Saccharomyces cerevisiae S288C: one gene and its partners. The protein of the gene in region 2 interacts with the protein of the main gene of each other region in a biochemical or structural test. Each region holds a gene or a part of one and is shown on either strand. Other genes may lie near its edges.

Region 1 (5,457 bases), on a different chromosome or scaffold from region 2:
AATCATTTAGATTTGGATAGTCCCTCGTGCACTTTAAAGAGCGACTTGTCAGGGTTCAGAGCTCTTGATGCTATAATGAGACCATTCCCCATACAAATTCACGGAAGATTTGAGTTTGCTGAGTTTAACTTATGTAATAAATCCTACCTTTTGAAATTAGTTGGTAAAACGACACCTGAACAGATAACTGTCCCTACATATATTTTTATACCACGGCACCATTTTACACCAAGCCGGTTGTCAATTCGTTCATCATCAGGTCATTATACCTATAACACTGACTACCAGGTTCTTGAATGGTTTCACGAGCCTGGCCATCAGTTCATTGAAATTTGCGCAAAATCGAAGTCAAGGCCCAACACCCCTGGAAGTGACACTTCGAATGACTTACCAGCGGAATGCGTTATCAGCTAAACAAAAATTGAACCAAAAGCTATAGTAGTCATATATATATATATACACCCTTTTTATTGTTACAAAAAGATTTCACCATCAGAAATCTAAAGAAGCCGGTTCATCATCATCTTCACGTTCTCTTTTCACTGAACCCAGTTCATTTTTCAAAAGAGAACTCACATATGCTTGGAACTGATTGATAAAAGGTTGTAAAGCTGTTAATGAAACATCATTATTTTTCTCCATTTCTGTTTGAAGATCAATTAGCTTAGGTGCTTTTTCAGGTGCAAAGGATTCATCAATAGGCACACAGACATTCCCCGTAGCAGGATGAATACAAAAAGGGGCCTTTAACAAATGAATTGTTTGCTTTGTAACTTCCACATCCAGCTTCGGATAAAGAGTCATCAATACGAGATCTTCCTTACATTCACGTAACTTAATTATGTGAGAGTCTTGCTTGGGGCCTTTGAAGAGCGATGTAGCTATCTGATCTATATCATTCCACTTCTCTTTGCTTGACCTCCTTGGATTGTCCAGCCAATACTTCTTTAATGAATCAATCAATTGTTTATCATATAATGCAGGCAATAAAGTTTGGATAGCATGTTGGTCATCTTCCCAAGGATTTTGCTCTTCGAGCATAATGCTGACAAAGAAAGGTTTCAATTGCTCCAAAGAACGAGCAAGATGAGGGTGATAAGGCCTCTTCAAAGCCAATCGCTTGTCAGTATTTCTGTCTCTAATCACGTTGACATAATCTAAAACGTTTCTTCGTTGTACATCCGTCAAAGCCCGTGCCCGTTTGTCGCTTACCCAACAATGAGCACCACGTCTACCTGAAAATACCCAGATGAAGTCCTTATAACCAAAATCCTCTCTTAGGGCCGTGTTCGTAATTTTCATTGCCAAAGATATAAATTTCCAGCACTTAGAGCAAACTTGGGCTCCGGAGCAACACGTTCTGAAGGCATCGTAATCATCCATATCAATATCAAACACCAACTCCTTCTCTAAAGCTTTCAATTCGCTTTTTAATAGAGTATCACGTTCTCTTGGCGGTTTGTTATATATGGCACCGATTTCAAATCTGTCTGGGTTGGCTTTTTCTATTTGTGCTTTGAAATCTTGCACAGAGTTAAAAGAATTATACCTTTTGTAAGCACCTGACCTGAACGCCATAGCGAATTCTCTGTTAATCATATCCCTAGAAGGTTTGGGCGAATGATTCAGCCAGTTGAAAATGTGTTTGAATGGATAGAGCGACTTATAGTAGTACTCCATGTCTGAGGAGCTTGGCCCATTAGTCTTTACTGAATTGGTCATGATGTTTATAAAACAGTTTTTTGAGTTGCTAAAACTAATTTTTGCTAGTATTATGGCACGCTTTTCTCTTCAGCTTCAAAGTATTTTTGATTAATTTTTTATCTTTTTGGCGTTATGAAACTTTTCAACTGAAAGAAAACAATAGGTAAAAGTGGCAAAGGGCACTGACCGAGCAACTGTTTCGAAACTCACGCATCATTCACACGTAGGATATAGTAATGGTTGAACCAGCAAGGAAAAAGCAGAGGATTGATCGCGATACTCATCACACTGTGGCTGAACCAGTAACGGAAGCTAAAAATACGCTGTACGTGAGCCAGCTTAATGAAAAAATTAATATGCAACGACTGCGAGTAAACCTTTTTTTGCTCTTTGCTACGTTTGGAGAGGTACTGAAGGTTAGCATGAATTTCAAGAAACAGCGGGGCCAAGCCTTTATCACCATGAGAACCATCGACCAGGCCAGTCTGGCCCAGATTTCATTAAACGGCGAGCGATTCTTTGGTAAGCCTTTGAAAGTTGAGTTCAGCAAGAGTGAAACTAAAACACTATGACTGGCTTAACGCTCTATTCATAGCAGCACGTATATACCGAGAAGAGCTGCCATAGGGGCACATCAAAGTCAAGAGCGCAGAACCAAACCAAAATGTTTATATCCAAACAACCCGGCGTTATAGATGGTCGTCAACGGACAAATAATATCAAGGCATGTATCAATATGGAGTAGATATAGAATCTACAAAAATCTGTAGCAGAAAGAGTCTCCCGAAAAGACATACTGCAGAACGGCCGCTTATTCCTCACTTCAATTGCTTAAATAATACAAAGGGCAAACCACAGAGTACCCCATTGCCAAAAGACGTTTATTACATTTTGGAAGTGATAATTTAGTATATAAGACAGCTTACTATATGATGAATTACAGTGTAGTTCAGCGTTTATATGTGGCTTCGTTTAAAATGATATATATTTCTAGTAAAAGCAAAAATTCACAAATGATAAACAAATCAAAATAAACATCAAAAGAACCGCCAATTGATAAAAGCACAAAGTACCAGGCAGAGTTGTGAAACCGGGCCTCTTCTATTGTACCACACACAAATTTTTCTTTATTTAGGTAGAGGATGAGTCTGGAACCCACACAAACGGTCTCCGGTACGCCGCCGATGCTGCATCAAAGAACACACAAACAAGTATACCCATTGCGGATGGAAACTATCCCAATATTGGAATCCGACTCCAAGGCTACTCTACAAAGCAACGAGCCCACCCAGAAAGATGAGGAGGAGACCGAATATTTTGAGAATAAACAATCCGTGTCGAATTTGAGCCCCGATTTGAAATTCAAACGACACAAGAATAAACATATCCAGGGGTTCCCTACTCTGGGCGAAAGGCTGGATAACCTGCAAGATATAAAAAAGGCCAAGAGAGTGGAGAATTTCAATTCTTCTGCGCCAATTGCTGACGACAATCATAGTGGAGATGCGACTGCAAATGCGACTGCAAATGCGACTGCAAATGCGACTGCGAATGTTAATGCAAGTGCAATGCCCGCTCCATATATGCCTTATTACTATTACTACCATCCGATGAATGCACCAACTCCTGCAATGATACCATATCCTGGATCACCAATGCATTCGATTATGCCCAACTCCTCATTACAGCCCTTTTATTCGCAACCCACTGCTGCAGGCGGTCCCGATATGACTACTCCCCAAAATATATCTTCATCACAACAATTGCTGCCAGCTCCGCAATTGTTTCCGTACGGATCATTCCATCAACAACAACTTCAGCAACCACACTACATTCAACGAACAAGGGAAAGGAAAAAATCAATCGGAAGTCAGAGAGGTAGAAGATTGTCTATGTTAGCATCTCAAGCTAATGGGGGAAGCACTATTATATCTCCGCACAAGGATATTCCTGAAGAGGATTTTTACACCGTGGTTGGAAATGCGTCTTTTGGTAAAAATTTACAAATACGACAGCTTTTCAACTGGTGTTTAATGAGATCTCTGCATAAATTGGAGTTGAAGGCTAAAAACCAAGAGGAAGAAGGGGAACTTGAACATCTGACCAAAAAATCCAAGCTCGAATCAACAAAGGCAGAAACTGATTATGTGGATCCCAAACGTCTGGCTATGGTGATAATAAAAGAGTTTGTCGATGATCTTAAAAAAGATCATATTGCGATAGATTGGGAAGATGAGGAAAAATATGAGGATGAAGATGAGGAGAAGATTCTGGATAATACTGAAAACTACGATGACACGGAACTGCGACAACTGTTTCAGGAAAACGACGACGACGACGACGACGACGATGAGGTGGACTACTCGGAAATACAGAGGTCTAGACGTAAATTTAGTGAAAGGAGAAAAGCCCTACCGAAAGAACCAAAAAAACTATTACCTAATAGCAAAAACGTGGAAAACACAAAGAATCTTAGCATTTTAACGAGCAAGGTGAACGCGATCAAAAATGAAGTGAAAGAATGGGCAGTCACTTTAGACACTTCGAGACCAGATCTTGAATGGCAAGAATTGACTTCATTCTCATCACAACCACTGGAACCGTTGTCGGATACAGAAGAGCCAGACCTTGCGATTGCAGATGTTGAGACAAAGTTAGAAACAAAAGTCGATGAGCTAAGGTACCAGTCGCATATATTAAACTCGCACTCACTAGCCTTAAACGAAATAACAAATTCAAAAGTGAATAAATTGAACATAGAAACAATGAGAAAGATCTCAAGCGAAACGGACGATGACCACTCACAAGTGATTAATCCTCAACAGCTGTTGAAGGGATTAAGTTTATCTTTCAGTAAAAAACTGGATTTATGAAATAAAAGAAAAAATCAAAAAAAAATCGGATACTTCTGCATATGTAACATTACACAGTCATACATTTATATATACATATATATACATATTAATGTATTTGAAAAAGCAAAAGAACCATTCTATCCTTAGTTAAAGGGCGAATCAGTAGCAGCGCTACCACTATTGTTATTGTTTTCGTTTGCTGTCATGGTATCGTGGTGGTAAATAATACTTTCTTGAAGTGATAATGTTGATGACGATGCTGCTGAAGGGCTACCCATATCTAAAGATTTGAACAGCTGGAGTGGGCGTTCCAATAACCCATTTGAATGTTCATTGTATACCTGTAATCTTGTCATATGACTTTTCCAGACGGAGCTATTATCTGCTAATAAAATTATCCTGTCACGGGCAACATGTTCAATAAGCGTACACCATACGTGAGACAATTGTTCAATGCATTTATCGTAGTAGTAATTATTACTAGCTAATTCAAATCTGGGCAATTTGATAACTAATTCCGTGCAAATGTCTAAGAATTTTAATGATGCGTGCAAATTTTCCAAACGTGGTGGAATGTTATCCAGTATGAAATCCACCAAACAGTTTAAGAACTCCAGAATTTGAGGTTTCATTCTCACGAAAGCATAGTCATCTAATTTATTACTCTCATAAGACCTATTGTAAGGTATGCTCTGGTAAACGGCTTCTGATTTTTGTTTCAACATGTCCAGACACTTTTGTATACTGAAGTCTAATCCGATGACTCTCGTATGTACGCTTTGTTGTATTTCTGGATGTTTTGTCATCAAATCCACCAACAACTGCTGTAATTGGTTCTTGTTCATTAGTTCCATGCCTCGTTGCAAGGGCAGAGGCTGCCCTCTGATGAGCGATCCTG
Region 2 (8,844 bases):
CCTTGCTTCAGGTCTATCAAAGCGAGGCGACCAATTCATAAACACACCAAATACACCCAGCGCCAGAGAAATACTCATGTAAGTGTACATCGCCCAGTAACATGAATACATGGTAACAAACTCCGTTGTCAATATCGAAGCTGTAATTAAGATCGTAATACCGCTATAGTCGACACACGCAAATTTAGAACGTAGCTTCAAGAAGGACGTTCCGTTGAAAGTATGCCAAAACACGGAGCTTAGCATACATTTCAACGCAGCTGCCAAAAACATGAAAACAATCCATCTAGCCTGTGGTGGAACCTGGGAATTCCGCCAAACTTCAGACTGAGGGAAATCGTAAATTGCCAAGTAGATTATATAAATGGCTCCTAACAAATGAGACCAAATATTTGAAGTTTCATTATGCCAGCCGTACCAGTTAAAGATAGACAACAAAGATTTGGAATGGGTATTGTAAAACCTATAGCCATGGATTATGTATCTGTTTTCCCTCCATGGGAATGGCAACTGATAATAATGTAAATGTTGAGTTTCACCTAGACTATACGCTTTGCCATGGTTGTATGAGTTTATAAAAGACTTGATATCGGTAGTAGGATTCAAAGGTTCTTCAATGAGGATTTCCGTCTTTACCATGGATTTTCTCATTGGACCGCAATAGTCTTTCACGCTGGAAATATAATTGTTTTCCTCTTTGATTTTTGTATCATTGAGACGACTTGTTGGGGAACGTAACGAGGACTTCGCTTGAGAACATACAGTTGAAGATGAAGACACCAGTGAAGTGGATGTAGAAGCATTGTTAAGCTTGAAAGTAGCGACTGAATTCACCAAAGTGGCTGCATCTGAATCTCCCAGTGAAAACTGAGATTCTGTATTCAGAGACTTGCCACTGTTTCTTTTGTACACAGAACTTGTTACTTCCTTTTCTTTTGTTGGACGAATTATCTCCAAATCATCATACCGCCCACTTTCAGAGTGTTTAACACTTTCATCAATAGTTGAAAATGGATGAGGAACGAATTTTGAGTAGTTGTAATTATAGATGGATTTACCGGATTTTTTCACCTTCTGAAAATTGTCCACACCCTTCTGCTTTAGCCTTGATAGAGATCCCATGGGTGAGGGTATATACTGAGTTAAGCTTTTGCTTGACGAGTCCATCATGTACTTAATTTGATTGTCTGTTGGGATGTGAACTATTTTTCAGCTTATCTGCGTTGCAGCTTCTTCTTTGTCCACTTTACAATGGCTAAACTTTACCAGACGACAAAACAAGTGTAGAATTTGAATCAACTGTGTCCTAAAGAAAAAATAATGTCCAAAAACTCTTATTATAAAACGAGTAAACCACCACTTCGCTCGAATCGCCAAGCTTTCTAGATGTACACCCACGCTGTGTCACCTTATGACTATATACCTTATCCATCAACACTTTCTCCATTTCCTGCAGGGTAAAAAGAAAAGTGAAGTCACCCTGCACTATACGAGCTTCAGCCCATACCCCACACTAAAACATTTCTTTTTCTGCGGCATTTCTTTTTTTTTCGGTCCGTCCCTGTCCCTTCCCACGAGAAAGCGTAATGATCCTCGACCCTACCCCACTTCCCCACGCCAATTAAAACAGATAAAATTTCTTTTGATTTTTCGGATACGCTAATTTCGTAGCAATTTTGAATGACTAGACATTTGTTGGATAACTACATAGTCTCCCACCCACCAAGATCTGCACTGCCGTCCGTTAGTCGGAACACTATGTGCGGAATCATGTTGCCAAAAACAATCTCATTCGCTAGATTCGCGTATCTCGCCCGATTCAAATAGACGGGAGTACCGAATTTGTAGTCTTCGTTGGTCTCTCCGTATTTACTTAGATAAGGTGCAGCATAAAATGTACCTCTTTTGCCGTATGACAGATATATCGCATTTGTGCCGGTCATTAAGAAAACTCCGTAAGCGGAGGTGATTTCGCATCCATTTCTCATATGATCAGTACATTCCCCCTGTAAATAACCTTGCAGTGCTATGCTTTTTTGAATATGGCATTTTTGGCCACACAACAAGCATACTGCGATTTCGTATTTATCACATTTATTCGATATTTCATCATTATCAAGGGAAAATTTGGAAAGGTTCAATGGTAGTTCGATAAGCTGGATATGCTCTGGTGAAGGATATGCTCTTGTGTTTATGTTCTGCACCATGTCATATATTACTTGCTGAATTCTCAAATTATCATTACCATCATTATACCTTTCTATATTTTGTGTTAGTTCGTTGTAGAAAAAATCCTTCAAAAAGTGAGTTAAATTGGGTAATTTAAAATACCGGAAAATAAGCTCTATTTCACGCTGTTTGACGTCCATGAAATTATTGCTGCGGTTATTATTATTATCACCATCACCATCATCATCATACTGAATGTTGAATAATAAGAAGGTTCTTCTACAAAAAATGGACAATGACTCTAGTAATAGAGAGCATATAAAGTCTTTAATTTTCTCTAAACTTGTAAAATCAAACCGAACGTCGTCTGGTTTAAAGAGATCAACATACTTTTTAAAAGTATTGAATAGATATGAAAAGCTTGTCGATGGTTCCTCAGATCCGTTTGATGATATTTTGATTTTATTTCGACAGTCTTTGTAAAAGTTTACTCTCATCATATCTCTTGCAAGCAACAGTAGTAGTTGATGGAACCTTCTTTTGAACATTTCATAGATACATAGGTTAGGCGGTTGCGGGGTTTTTCCTCCATCAATATTATCAAAATTTTGACTCATATACAAAAGTAGATTCACATTATTACCCTTTATTAGAAACTCATTCCAATTCCATATTTTACGAGAGATTTCGCTGCTGAATGTTTTTGAATTAACAAATTTTTTGTAAATAAACGACTTTAGCTCACAAACTAAATGTAAGGTTAAAATGCACTGACTGGATATTCTTTCCATATTCACTATTTTTCCTTCCTTTTTGTGCGATCTTAATCTGAGCTCAGTATTTGAAATAGTATTAATAAAAACACTATTAACAACTTTATATGCATCTTCGATAGTCGTGACTTTTTTACCCTGAAGATCACCTAGAATCATCGCTGCTTTAATACAAATAGAGCTCATTGGGTCAAGGTTTTCTTCCGCTTCACTTCGCTTTTCAATACACATAAAAAACTGGCTCGAAGTTCTCTTATCTATATCATTTGTTTTTGGTAGAAATGAATTACTTAAGGAATTGCATACGGGACAATATATCAACCCTGAACCATACGATAATGGAATATTTTTTGTAGTTTGGTTTTGTATTCCGCGAATCGACTTCATATGGCCACTTAAACATTTGGTATGAGACCCATGCCCGCATGCTCTTAATACTGGTTCACAGCTAGTAAATTTCAATCTCGTTCCATCATCATCCTGGGGGTTTTCTTGGATTGCACTGTCTTTTGTTTGCTTACCACTGAACAGCGAATTTATTCTATTAACATCTGTAGGATTCGTAAAATCAATTCCATGATCACATATGTTCCGTTCTTGGTATGAAAAATAAACAAATACATCGTCATCCTTCGGCATCTTGCAAAATACGCAATCATCATCGCAGCAACTGTTGATTGTGTTACTACTATTCTCTGCATTTATTCTAGTGGGAGATAAACTAGGTGATGTGGTTCTGGGTGTACTAATATCGGAAGTATCTACACTATTGTTTTCCATGAATTTCATTTGCTGTTGAGCCAACTTCTTCATTAATTTTTTCTTTCTCAATCGAGCAAGATGTTTTTTCCTTTCAAATTCTTTATCCTTGTGGCTTTTATCTTCCTTTGTAGGCCACAATATTCCTGGTGTATATGACGTGGTTTGCTCCCTCAAATAACTGTTTACATTTACGTGAGGCGCTGTTTCCATTAAATACCTGAAAATTTCCCTAATCTTACCATGAGATTCCGAAAAATTATCCTTCAACAAACAGTAATACAGGATAGAACCAATGCTGTGGTAATGACAGAATTCTGTGTCCACAATTGCGTATTCATGCCACAGTATCCCCATAAATTCATTCAGATTATTAACCACGCATAAATGAATCAAATGAACCACTCTCGGCAATAAATTGTCATAATCATATTTTATAATGTGATCTAAAGTATTTTTCAAAAATAAACCAAAAGTATTCACTGATGATATTGAATACAGCCCAGAAAATAATGTATTCTTCAACAAATCTTTAACCTTTTTTGCTGGTACAAAAGTATCTTCATATTTCATTTTCTTCAAATTTGCCATATTCAGCCTGATATTTTTCTCTACATCATACCTCCTACTGGAAGACAACCCTATATAATAAGGATCAATCTCATCTTTATACTTTTCTTTCAACACGAAAATGCCATTGTCAGTCAAGCTTACAGGAGAAGTGTAATTGGCGTATTTTTCGAGATATATATCAAATGAAGGGTGCTTGGTGATATGTTCTGGAATACAGTTAACAATTTGTGCGTAAGAGCATGTATCAAAGCAAAGGGCATGAATTATTTCTGATTTGAACGTTCTCTCGAAGCCTTCCTTTGATGATTTCATGACCAATGATCTCACTTCAGTAAGCAATTGAATCAATAACAGAATGCATTCATTAACAACGGCTACAGTTGTTTCTGTATCAGGATAATCATACATAGGTACACCATTTGCCCAGTGCTTCAAACCCCACCTTGAGAGGTAAGTAACCATCAGTTCATCAGGATTGCACATTGCCATACTAAATTGCACATTGAAAATGTCACTAATATAAGTAAATTCTCGCATACTGTATTTTGTATACATCCGGGCCTGGTGAGTAATTGGAGTTCCGTTTCTTACCCAGAAACCGACGTTTATTTGCCCGATTAGGACTAGGGTTGACAAAGCAGATTCTGATATATATAAAGCCTTCTGCTTATCTTGAAAAACTTCGAAGAGATTAATGTAGTTTGTCAAAGAAGCAGGAATTGGCTCATATCTACCACATTGACTCCATTGAATAACAAATTTGAACAAATATGACATTGGATTGAAAAAATACTGTGTATTTACACCTACCTGGAAATTAATAGTCTCTGCGACATAATTGCATATCGTCTCTCTGACTGTAGACAAAGTCGCTTTGTTCGAATCATTTTCATTCGTTGATGCGTTATCAGGTGATATAGCTTTTCTAGAATTGGTTAGTGATTCAAATTCCCTGGTTTGAGCAACATCAAGTAGTTTAAGGACGATTTGCTTACGGAAAGCCGCATCTTTGACCAAAGATATACTACGTGTGTATCCATCTGTCATTATTAGTATTGATGAGAAAAAAAAATAAAATGCAGAAAAATCAAAGTTTTCAACCTCCACGTGTTCTTTAGTTTCCCTTTTCAATGGCAGCACGTTACTGAATTCAGAGAAGGACTCAATTATTGCGTTAAAAATTGCCTCATTTGAAAGTAGTTCTTCCGGAACAGTGTTCGCTGACATTATCGTACAAAGGTCTTTAAAGCAAATAATTGTCCTTCGATTTCGTATTGTTTCGGTGGGCAACTTAAAGCCATTGTATAAAGAGATGGGCAAATATGACATCAAGTCTTCTGGATTGAATGCCATGAGAGTAAAAGCAAATCTAATAGTTCGTTCAATGAATCCCGAGCTTATAGTCATATTTGCTATGCTGGGGTCTTGGAAAGTGTATTGCCCTAATATACTCATAAGAGTTACCTGACATTCTTTAGCATCTGATGCAACTGCATCATACAAGACCGATAGATAAACATCAATATATTGTGCGGCAAGAAACTTTCTGCTTTCATCCCTTAACGAGAATAATGACGCCATGATCTTTAACATTTTGAATTTAGATTTTTTTGAGAGGATATTAATAGAATTGATGATAATATATTGGAATCTAGATCCATAGAAATTGTAGAAATGGCTTACTGTGTTCGGCGAATGGGCTCTGATCAACCTTTCATTGTAATTAGTGAGTATTTTTGAAATTCTTTCGTCTTCAATGTTCTCTAATGACCAAGGTTTAAACCATGATTCATCACTATCTTCGTTAGATATTAAGAATCCACCTAATAAGTTAATCTTAGAAAAGTCAGGATTGGTATTTGTGGGAGATACTCTCATTTTAGAAAAATGGGAATACCAAACATCTAGCATGGAAATTCTAAGAGCATATTTATTTTGCAAAGACGTGGCCGCCTTAAAGCACAGAGAATATAACCAATCTGTTAAATCATCTGTTAACTTTCTCTTGAATATATCATCCGCTTTTCTTACATGAACTACTATGTTTTCCTTTTGAAACTCCTTGGCTATTTGATCTATTTCGAAAAAATTCTCACTTTGTAGCACAGTCACTACATCGTGTGAATCTTCTAAAGCCTTCGTTATTGAGATTGCATATTCAACCGGTGTATTCAAAATTCTTGTTATTGTAGATGCTAAATCCATGTAGTGTACGTTACACTCTTCTTCTTCGATTTGAATAGCCCACTCCATATGTGCTTCTTTTCTCGTATTGGACCAATTGTTATCAAAGAAAACAAAATTTTCATCATTGACCAATGGTTCACATTCGTGTTTTTCCATTATATCATCAGTAATGCTGTTTTGATTAGGATGCATTAGGGAGGATGCTTTTCTCTCGCTTGAATGGGCTTCTGCCTCCTCTTTGTATGAAACAGTTACATCAATTAAAAAATCCAGAACATAATTCAATAGGGAGATTACGTTTTCATCATCGGTTACGTTACTATTGTCGTTAGAAATAGGAATATTATTTAATTCGTTCTTGCACTTGAACGCGTCGCTTGGGTCATTAAAGGCAAAGGGGTCACCACAATGGCATATTCTGCCTTCTGGGCGCATTACCACTTTAGCAACATAAGAATGATTTACATGTTTTTCTTTATCGAAACAAAGCTCACATATTTCATACAATGGATTTGTGGAGCACGTAAAACAGTAATAAATTGTCTCAGAGGGGAAGCATAAACGCGTACACGCTGTTCCAATATGCATATTACCCACAGAGTGGTGGTCATTCTCGAACTCCAGGGTCCTCCACTTTCTTCCATTTAGTATGTCTCTGTACTTTTCGTTTTCCCAGGCTTCAGAATTGAGTATTGAAACGAGAGAGCGCCAGTTTATATCGTTATCACTATGCTTAAGGCGTAGATTTAAGGTTTTCCATAGTAAATAACTAGTGGTTTCGCTATATTCGCATTTCGCGAGTTTGGGGAGCTCGGTAAGAAAATCTCTTATATTGGTTATAGACAGGTCAGAATCTTCCATGCGTGCTTGTTAAGTAGCTATTAATTTAGTTAACGAATCTTACCTTTACTATCAGAGACGAGTAAATGATAATAATTAGAAAAAAAAGCCGGCTCTTTTTTTTAAAAAGCTTGAGCAACTTTTTTTTTTTATAGAGTTGTTAGTAATATGCCAAGCAATTGAAAGTATGAATGCGTTGATTATTGGGTTTCTCCCCACAGCTGTACATTGACGATGCTCTTTATTGATATCGCCTAAAAGTTCAACAAACGCCACTGGAAATTGCCGCCGTTGTCACCACAACGTGATAAGTGATGGTGTGCTTTTTGCACATCTAGTGAAGAAACGGGCAATTAGGATCTAGGACCAGTAACACTTGCCCCGCAAATATTATAACATGGGCCTTATGATTGCTCGGTTTGTTACATCTAACATCCTAAGAAGTGAGTGGCATGAATACGTAGCTATATGTAGATTGAAAATTGATGAGTCGAGTCATCACCTTCCTCTAAACGGGGGATAAATTTTGGCGGTATTTTCCCTAATTTTATTCTTCGTTATGTCAGCCATGTGAGACTAATTAATTCAAGTTTTGACTTACAATTGCGGCTTCGTCGGAAATCAGTATTACGTATAAACTGTGTACCATAAAATTGGCGTACTCGGTATTGTTTATACTAAGCCGGCCATTCTAGTGATTTCGCCTCTATAAATGGTTGTTATTCGAGTATAATATTTCAACCGCATCAAAGAAAGAGGTAGATAGCTTGCGTTCAACACCGTTCTTTTCTTTCCCCCTTAATTTAGCGCTTGGCGGTTATGCTATGGTGACAGTTAACTTTTTTAATTATAGGATGACTTGTCATATTGTTATATGCCGCATACTTATGTAAAGTAGTTATTGAGGTGGGGGTGAGCAGAGTAACGACAACGATGGAGTTCCGTAACTAACCAATGCTTAATGTTGGTAAGTAATAGCAAATATATATACTACATAGCTTTTGTTATATGCATCATTTTATACGATTCATGTTCGACCCTTTTGATAAAAGATGGGATTTTTAAATAAGTCGGTGGGTGATTTCGAATCATGAATAGTTGGCAGAGCAGGGGAAGTACGAGCTTCTAAAGGGTAAGATATTGTATTTCGGACGGAAGCAGCAGAAACATAACAGTATTGATAAATAAGGCATGTGGTCATCACTTTTTGGTTGGACATCAAGTAATGCCAAGAATAAAGAGTCACCAACAAAGGCCATAGTGCGGTTGAGGGAGCATATCAACCTTCTATCCAAAAAGCAATCGCATTTACGTACTCAAATTACAAATCAAGAGAATGAAGCTAGAATCTTTTTGACGAAGGGCAATAAAGTAATGGCGAAGAATGCACTTAAAAAGAAGAAGACAATCGAACAACTTTTAAGTAAGGTAGAAGGCACAATGGAGTCTATGGAACAGCAGCTATTCTCTATAGAAAGTGCAAACTTAAATCTAGAGACAATGAGGGCTATGCAGGAAGGTGCTAAGGCAATGAAAACTATTC
Region 3 (5,556 bases), on a different chromosome or scaffold from region 2:
GACATAATTATTATCAAAATATATGGTATTAGATGGACTGGTAAAAGTACAAAACTTCAGAAATTTGTCCGTGATAGTTTAATGGTCAGAATGGGCGCTTGTCGCGTGCCAGATCGGGGTTCAATTCCCCGTCGCGGAGATTTTTTTATCAGACCAGGTGGGTGTTGTTTGATCATCACAAAGTAGAATTCAGTGTCATTTTTAAAAACGTTACTTAATTTTACGATAATATGCTGCCAGAACAAGTTTAACAATACGCTTTTGGCAATTTGTTCTTGCTGCACTTGGAATTAAATAAGAGTCTTAGTAAACAGAATGTTGCTTTAGTTGTTCGTCAACAAAAACAAAGATAAAGGATGGAGGTAATCAAATAGCCCACATTAAGAAAAGTATACAACTGGGAATTTACTTTATAAAAATTACCGTTGCTACATTTTTTTATATTATTTATTGAATAGCTTGATATTTCAATTCTTCTTTGCAAAGTAATTGATAAGCATTCCATTTTTTACCAGGAGCCAAGGAAATAAAATCATGAACATGACCAGGTTCAATACATATCATTTGTTGGTAACCAGTTTTTGGTTCGAAATCGGCCATCCCTTGAGACTTCTCAATCCATGGATTCCAAACAACAGTGTCGGGCAAGTTGTATCTTTTTAGAGTGTGAATTTGAACGCCCTTGTCAACTATTTGAATGGCCCGTTCGGCGCTGACATTCTGATAAATTACATCGGTTTCTTGATTGAAGGTAACGACTGGGTGCTTGTCGACGTAGGATTCCTTCAACAGTTGGTCATAAAGTTTCATGCCAGCTAAATTAGAGACCATTGTTCCTTCAATATCTTCGATACGGAAGTATGTATGGAACAACCAGTTGAACTTTAATTCCTTGGAACTAGATGTGTTTTCTACTTCTATGGCAGTTTTCAAATAATCGGAGCCTAATTCAACAGTCAAAATCAAAAGATAATCCATTGGCCACAATTTGGTCAATTCTGGGTTAGCAATTTCTGGTTTCAAGCCAAATTGTACGGTCGGTGGGTTTTCCTTAGTTTGACCCAAAAACTCCCAAGTAGAATTTCTTGCAAGACCATGTTGAGGTAATTTACTCAAATGTTCATCGGTGCTATTTTTCCCGAATACAGGAAAGACCAAAGGTATACCACCTCTCACAGGTTTGCTACCATCCAATTTAGCAGCAGTAGACAACCACAACTGTTCTTCAGATTTCAATTTCCAAGAATAAACTGTAGCACCGTACTTTAGAATATGAACGCTGGTGGTCTCATCAGCTGGATGAGTCAAAACAACTTCTTTATCAGTTTCTTTGATAGGCATGGCTTTGTGTTTTAATCTTTCTTGGTTCAAGTTTTACCAAAGGCTTATAATGAACCTCAGAATCACCTCTTTATTCATTTCTAGGGACCTACTAAGTTTTCTTTCGGCGTGAAAAATAAAAGGCGCATTGGTGACCCCATTTGCGATACCTTTTTATGGAAAGACAGCTTGAAGAAAGACCTTGTTATCATTGACTGCGTCTAGCGAACGAGGACATCTACACACTATTTCTTCTGCTGCAATGATTGATGCCGTTTAGATGAATGGTCGGGACGTAACTTATGTTTTAAGAAGAAGGCACTTTTCCTGGTGCAATAGATGAATCTCGGTTTCAAGTTAACTATATAAATATGGGGTTGGCATTATATGTCATGCTTTATTATAATTAGGCATATAAAACTACATGGTTATGAAAGGCGCTGGCAGTAAAAGGGTTGTTTGTCAATGGCAAGAATTAATCATTCTCGCATTGAAATATATGTAGATCGAGGTGAACTGTTAGATGGTCCATCAGACATTTATTATTTTGACTTATGTATTTCCCTCTCAATTTTGTTATCAGTAATCGAGTCATGTGTACTTTAAAGTTCATATTCTCACGTTTTTCGCAAGATATTAGCCGCCAATAGCAACTCCGAATAATAAGAGCTATATAAAGGCCGTTGAAGCCCACGGAAAGAGAAAGAAAACTAATAGTTATTACAATATAGACCGTTGGTTTTTTCTTTCCCTCCTGGAGCAGCTGCGTATAGTTACTACCTAAGAAGTGGGCTAGAAGTTGGCTAGAAGTGGGCTACTTAATATATATCTTTGGATACATAGAAAGGAACCAGGAAAAAGGAAAATTATTTAGATGGCTTCCATAAGTTTATGATGGTTCAAACGGCAAAAAGCCTTTTGACTATTTTTCTTGGTTGAACTATCTTCTTATTAGGCCTACTACAACAATGCATCGAGCTAGGATAACAACTAGAATACTTTGGTTATGTATTGTATGGGTGTTCAGTGGCAAAATTTGAGAGTTGGGTTATTGATGGTCGGCCTATACAAACGAAAGACCTAGAGCAGCTCACAAGGAAGAAAGTGCTGGACAAACTTCCCTACCTGAAGAGAAAAATATCCGTTTTTTATATAGTTTCTGTAAGTGTGCACAGTGACTTCCTCATTAGAGCGATATAGATAATTTGAGACTTTATTTATTTTTTATTTTTGTTGGTTCTCATATTCAACCTTCCATTTATCTAAGTTGAACCATTAAACATTCCCTTTTTTACTTTGCTAATTTCATCATACCCATTGATCAACTATAAGTGAAACTTGGGAATCTTCCATTATACAAAGGTGAGGTCCCTATTTGTTGCATTTTTCAATTCATTTCCCTGGGAGTTTTTGTTTGTTTTTGCTATATTAACATATCATAACAGCGTATAGAACGTAATTTGAAATATTCAAAACAAAGAAAAGGTAAAGAAATGAGAGACTCTAATCATCGATCATTAACGTCGAACAAGCCTATAGTAACAATAACATCTACTGTCTATGACCGAAGGGCATTGGATATCAACTCTAGTATTCCGTTAATAAACTCCCTAAACTACTTAACATATCTAACCTCTAATTCATCAAAAGTTAGGGAAACGGTAGCTAACGACGGTGCTCTCGAAAGATTAGTCTCAATATTGAGGAGTTGTCATTTAAGTTTGTTTGAGTTGCTGGATTTGGATTTAGAAAATTTTAATGAGCACGAAAACATAAAGGATCTATGGAAGGAGAAAAGACTAGCACTATGCGCTTGGAAATGGACTTTAACATTTCAGTGCTTAGTATTGACAGGTACTAGAGGGACAGAACAAATTCGTAAAAAAGTGGTAATGTCTGGGGTCTTATCTGTGCTGGTCACAGTATTGGATAACTATTTACTATATCATAAAAATTACGACTTCATCAAAGATCAAACAATGACCTTTGACTTCAAAGGGATAACCACGGAGACAATGTATAAATTCATGAGAAAAGATGAGAATGAAACATATCAGCAGTATATAGAGTTCATTACAGGTCAGGATAAATTGAAGTTGTCAACTGACAAAAATTTTCTAAACGAACGATTAGTGGCACCGTCTATGACAATTCCAACTGATTTTAGTGATATATGGGGCCGGTTTGCAGACCTAGCTAGCAATTTTGAACCTGACCAGGAAAGACACGACGACGACATTGATATTGATAGTGAAGTAGAAAGTGAAAATTTTGATGCACATAAGAATTTCTTTTCGCAACCAGACATTAATAGACCTACAATTTCCACTCCACGTGAATTTTTTCTCGGAAGAATTGTCCCCAAACAAGACGACGTTATATGGTCGCTTCAGTTATTAGCTTTTGTTTCGAAGTATACATATATGAAATCAACCCTTCAAAATGTTGAGCTGGTTGAATCCCTATCGTTCAGAAGTATGGCTTACAAAATTAAACAGAGAATCTCAGAAGAGAATGACTTAGAAGAACAAGAAAGAGACGTAACTGTAAAATTGTCTTCATTATATCCTTATTTATCGAAAAATCCTGAAAACAATTCCAAAGTTAAGGCACTAGATACTAGCAAAATGGATCCATTTTTCAAAGAATTAGAAGAACTCTCAAACAGATGTCAACAAGAAGAACAAAATGAAATATGTAATAACCACTGTCCCGTTCTTAATTTGTTTGAGCGCTACCGTGTACCGAAACCTAGCGACGACAATGCCTATGGCAAAGACAAGGAAAGAATTAATTTAAGGAAGAAAATATCTGATAACTTTGAAAGGCGCTGGAGCTACGATAAAATGAAAAAGGAATTAACAAATATTGTTTACAAAAACAAGGTACTAACAAATGTTGTAAACATCTTCCCCTTAGTCGAAAAATATACAGTGAGCGCAGAAAATACACATGATGTTATATATTGGAGTTCTGTCATCATGAGAAATTCATGTCGAAAAAATGAGATCTTAGGTGTGCGTCAGTGTGCCAATTTTTCGTGCGGAAAATGGGAAGATTTTCCAAGACAATTTGCAAAATGTCGTCGATGCAAAAGAACGAAATATTGCTCACGAAAGTGTCAATTAAAAGCATGGGGATATCATAGGTATTGGTGTCACGAAGTTGGATCAAGTCATATGAGATCCACGAATACTACCACAGGTGTCAATACCCCAAATGAGCCTAGTTCTTTAAATGCCACCGCTACTACAGCAGCTGATGTTTCGAATTCTACCAGTACGTTCACTCCTAATATATCCACCACCGTACCTGATGAAATAAGCAATAGGGATGAAAATAGCATACCTGAGTAAAGTACAAGGGGATTTCGATGACCTAGGTTTAACAAGATCATGAAATATTCATTAACGGAGTTTTTTGTTTTCGCTTTTTTTATTTTTTGTTCCTAATTTTTTTTTTTTTTACATTTTATTAGCTATACACTTGGCGCAAGGATATTTTATATACCGGATATAATAGATAATTAAAAGACTACTAATTAAAAATGATGTAATATGGTAATAGGTATGGAAGAATCAGGGAGTTTTCAGAATGTTCTTTGCCCTCTCTTGGGCTTTCTAGTTTTGCACTTTTACTTATTCATCTCCTGTAACCGAAACTGAAATGGGGGGGTTTGGAAAGTTGTACAAAGACATAGCTGTTTTCTTTTTTTTAAATATTGAAGGAACGCTTTCATGTATTTTTTCAAACAATGAGTGATTCTTCTCATTATATTTTTGAATGGTGGAAAAGAAGGACCATTTGAGAATCATCAGGTACATAGCAAAGAAGCTAAAATTTGGCCACAACGTATCACTAAATTCAATGGTGGCATTTTCATGTACTTGCCATAGCATATAGTCTGAGAGCCTCCTATGCCCACTTGTTCTGATTAATAATTCACATTTATTGGAATGGAAACCCATGTACATTTTATTAGTAAATTTTCTTATATTAATCCTTGGTGATTTATTTTCCAAATGGTCTTCAACTGAATCACGAATAGTATGTAACATATCATTTCTTGAAGTGTAAGGAAAACATATAAATAAAGTGAAATCGTCTCCATCCTGTGTGATTTCTTCCACTTTTTTAATTTTTTTTCTCATTTCTGGAGATAGTAAAGATTGATCACCTACTATTCTTATTTTAGATCCGTATAAGGGATCCTTATAGTCCTTGGCTCTTTTTGCG

The links.
Region 1: the proteins of UBR2 (region 2) and DSN1 form a complex in vitro, tested with the Saccharomyces cerevisiae proteins (one study listed by BioGRID).
Region 3: the proteins of UBR2 (region 2) and MUB1 form a complex in vitro, tested with the Saccharomyces cerevisiae proteins (one study listed by BioGRID).

The regions. Positions count from the first base shown.
Region 1 is NC_001141.2:372,585-378,041, forward strand, and holds DSN1 (MIND complex subunit DSN1), read left to right. Parts: upstream 1-2,846; coding exon 2,847-4,577; downstream 4,578-5,457. Other genes in the region: EGH1 (hydrolase), read left to right, coding at 1-414; DNA primase subunit PRI1, read right to left, coding at 493-1,722; U2 snRNP complex subunit MSL1, read left to right, coding at 1,941-2,276; STS1 (Sts1p), read right to left, coding at 4,703-5,457. UniProt on the Saccharomyces cerevisiae protein: Acts as an essential component of the kinetochore MIND complex, which is required for the spindle checkpoint and kinetochore integrity.
Region 2 is NC_001144.5:185,960-194,803, forward strand, and holds UBR2 (putative ubiquitin-protein ligase UBR2), read right to left. Parts: upstream 7,323-8,844; coding exon 1,704-7,322; downstream 1-1,703. Other genes in the region: IZH3 (Izh3p), read right to left, coding at 1-1,170; ESCRT-III subunit protein SNF7, read left to right, coding at 8,493-8,844. UniProt on the Saccharomyces cerevisiae protein: E3 ubiquitin-protein ligase which probably functions outside the N-end rule pathway, since it lacks the residues essential for the degradation of N-end rule substrates. Mediates RPN4 ubiquitination and subsequent degradation.
Region 3 is NC_001145.3:463,487-469,042, forward strand, and holds MUB1 (MYND-type zinc finger protein MUB1), read left to right. Parts: upstream 1-2,813; coding exon 2,814-4,676; downstream 4,677-5,556. Other genes in the region: YMR099C (glucose-6-phosphate 1-epimerase), read right to left, coding at 448-1,341; SRT1 (ditrans,polycis-polyprenyl diphosphate synthase), read right to left, coding at 4,959-5,556. UniProt on the Saccharomyces cerevisiae protein: Involved in the determination of the onset of polarized growth. Required for the ubiquitin-dependent degradation of RPN4. Cooperates with UBR2 to transfer ubiquitin from RAD6 to RPN4.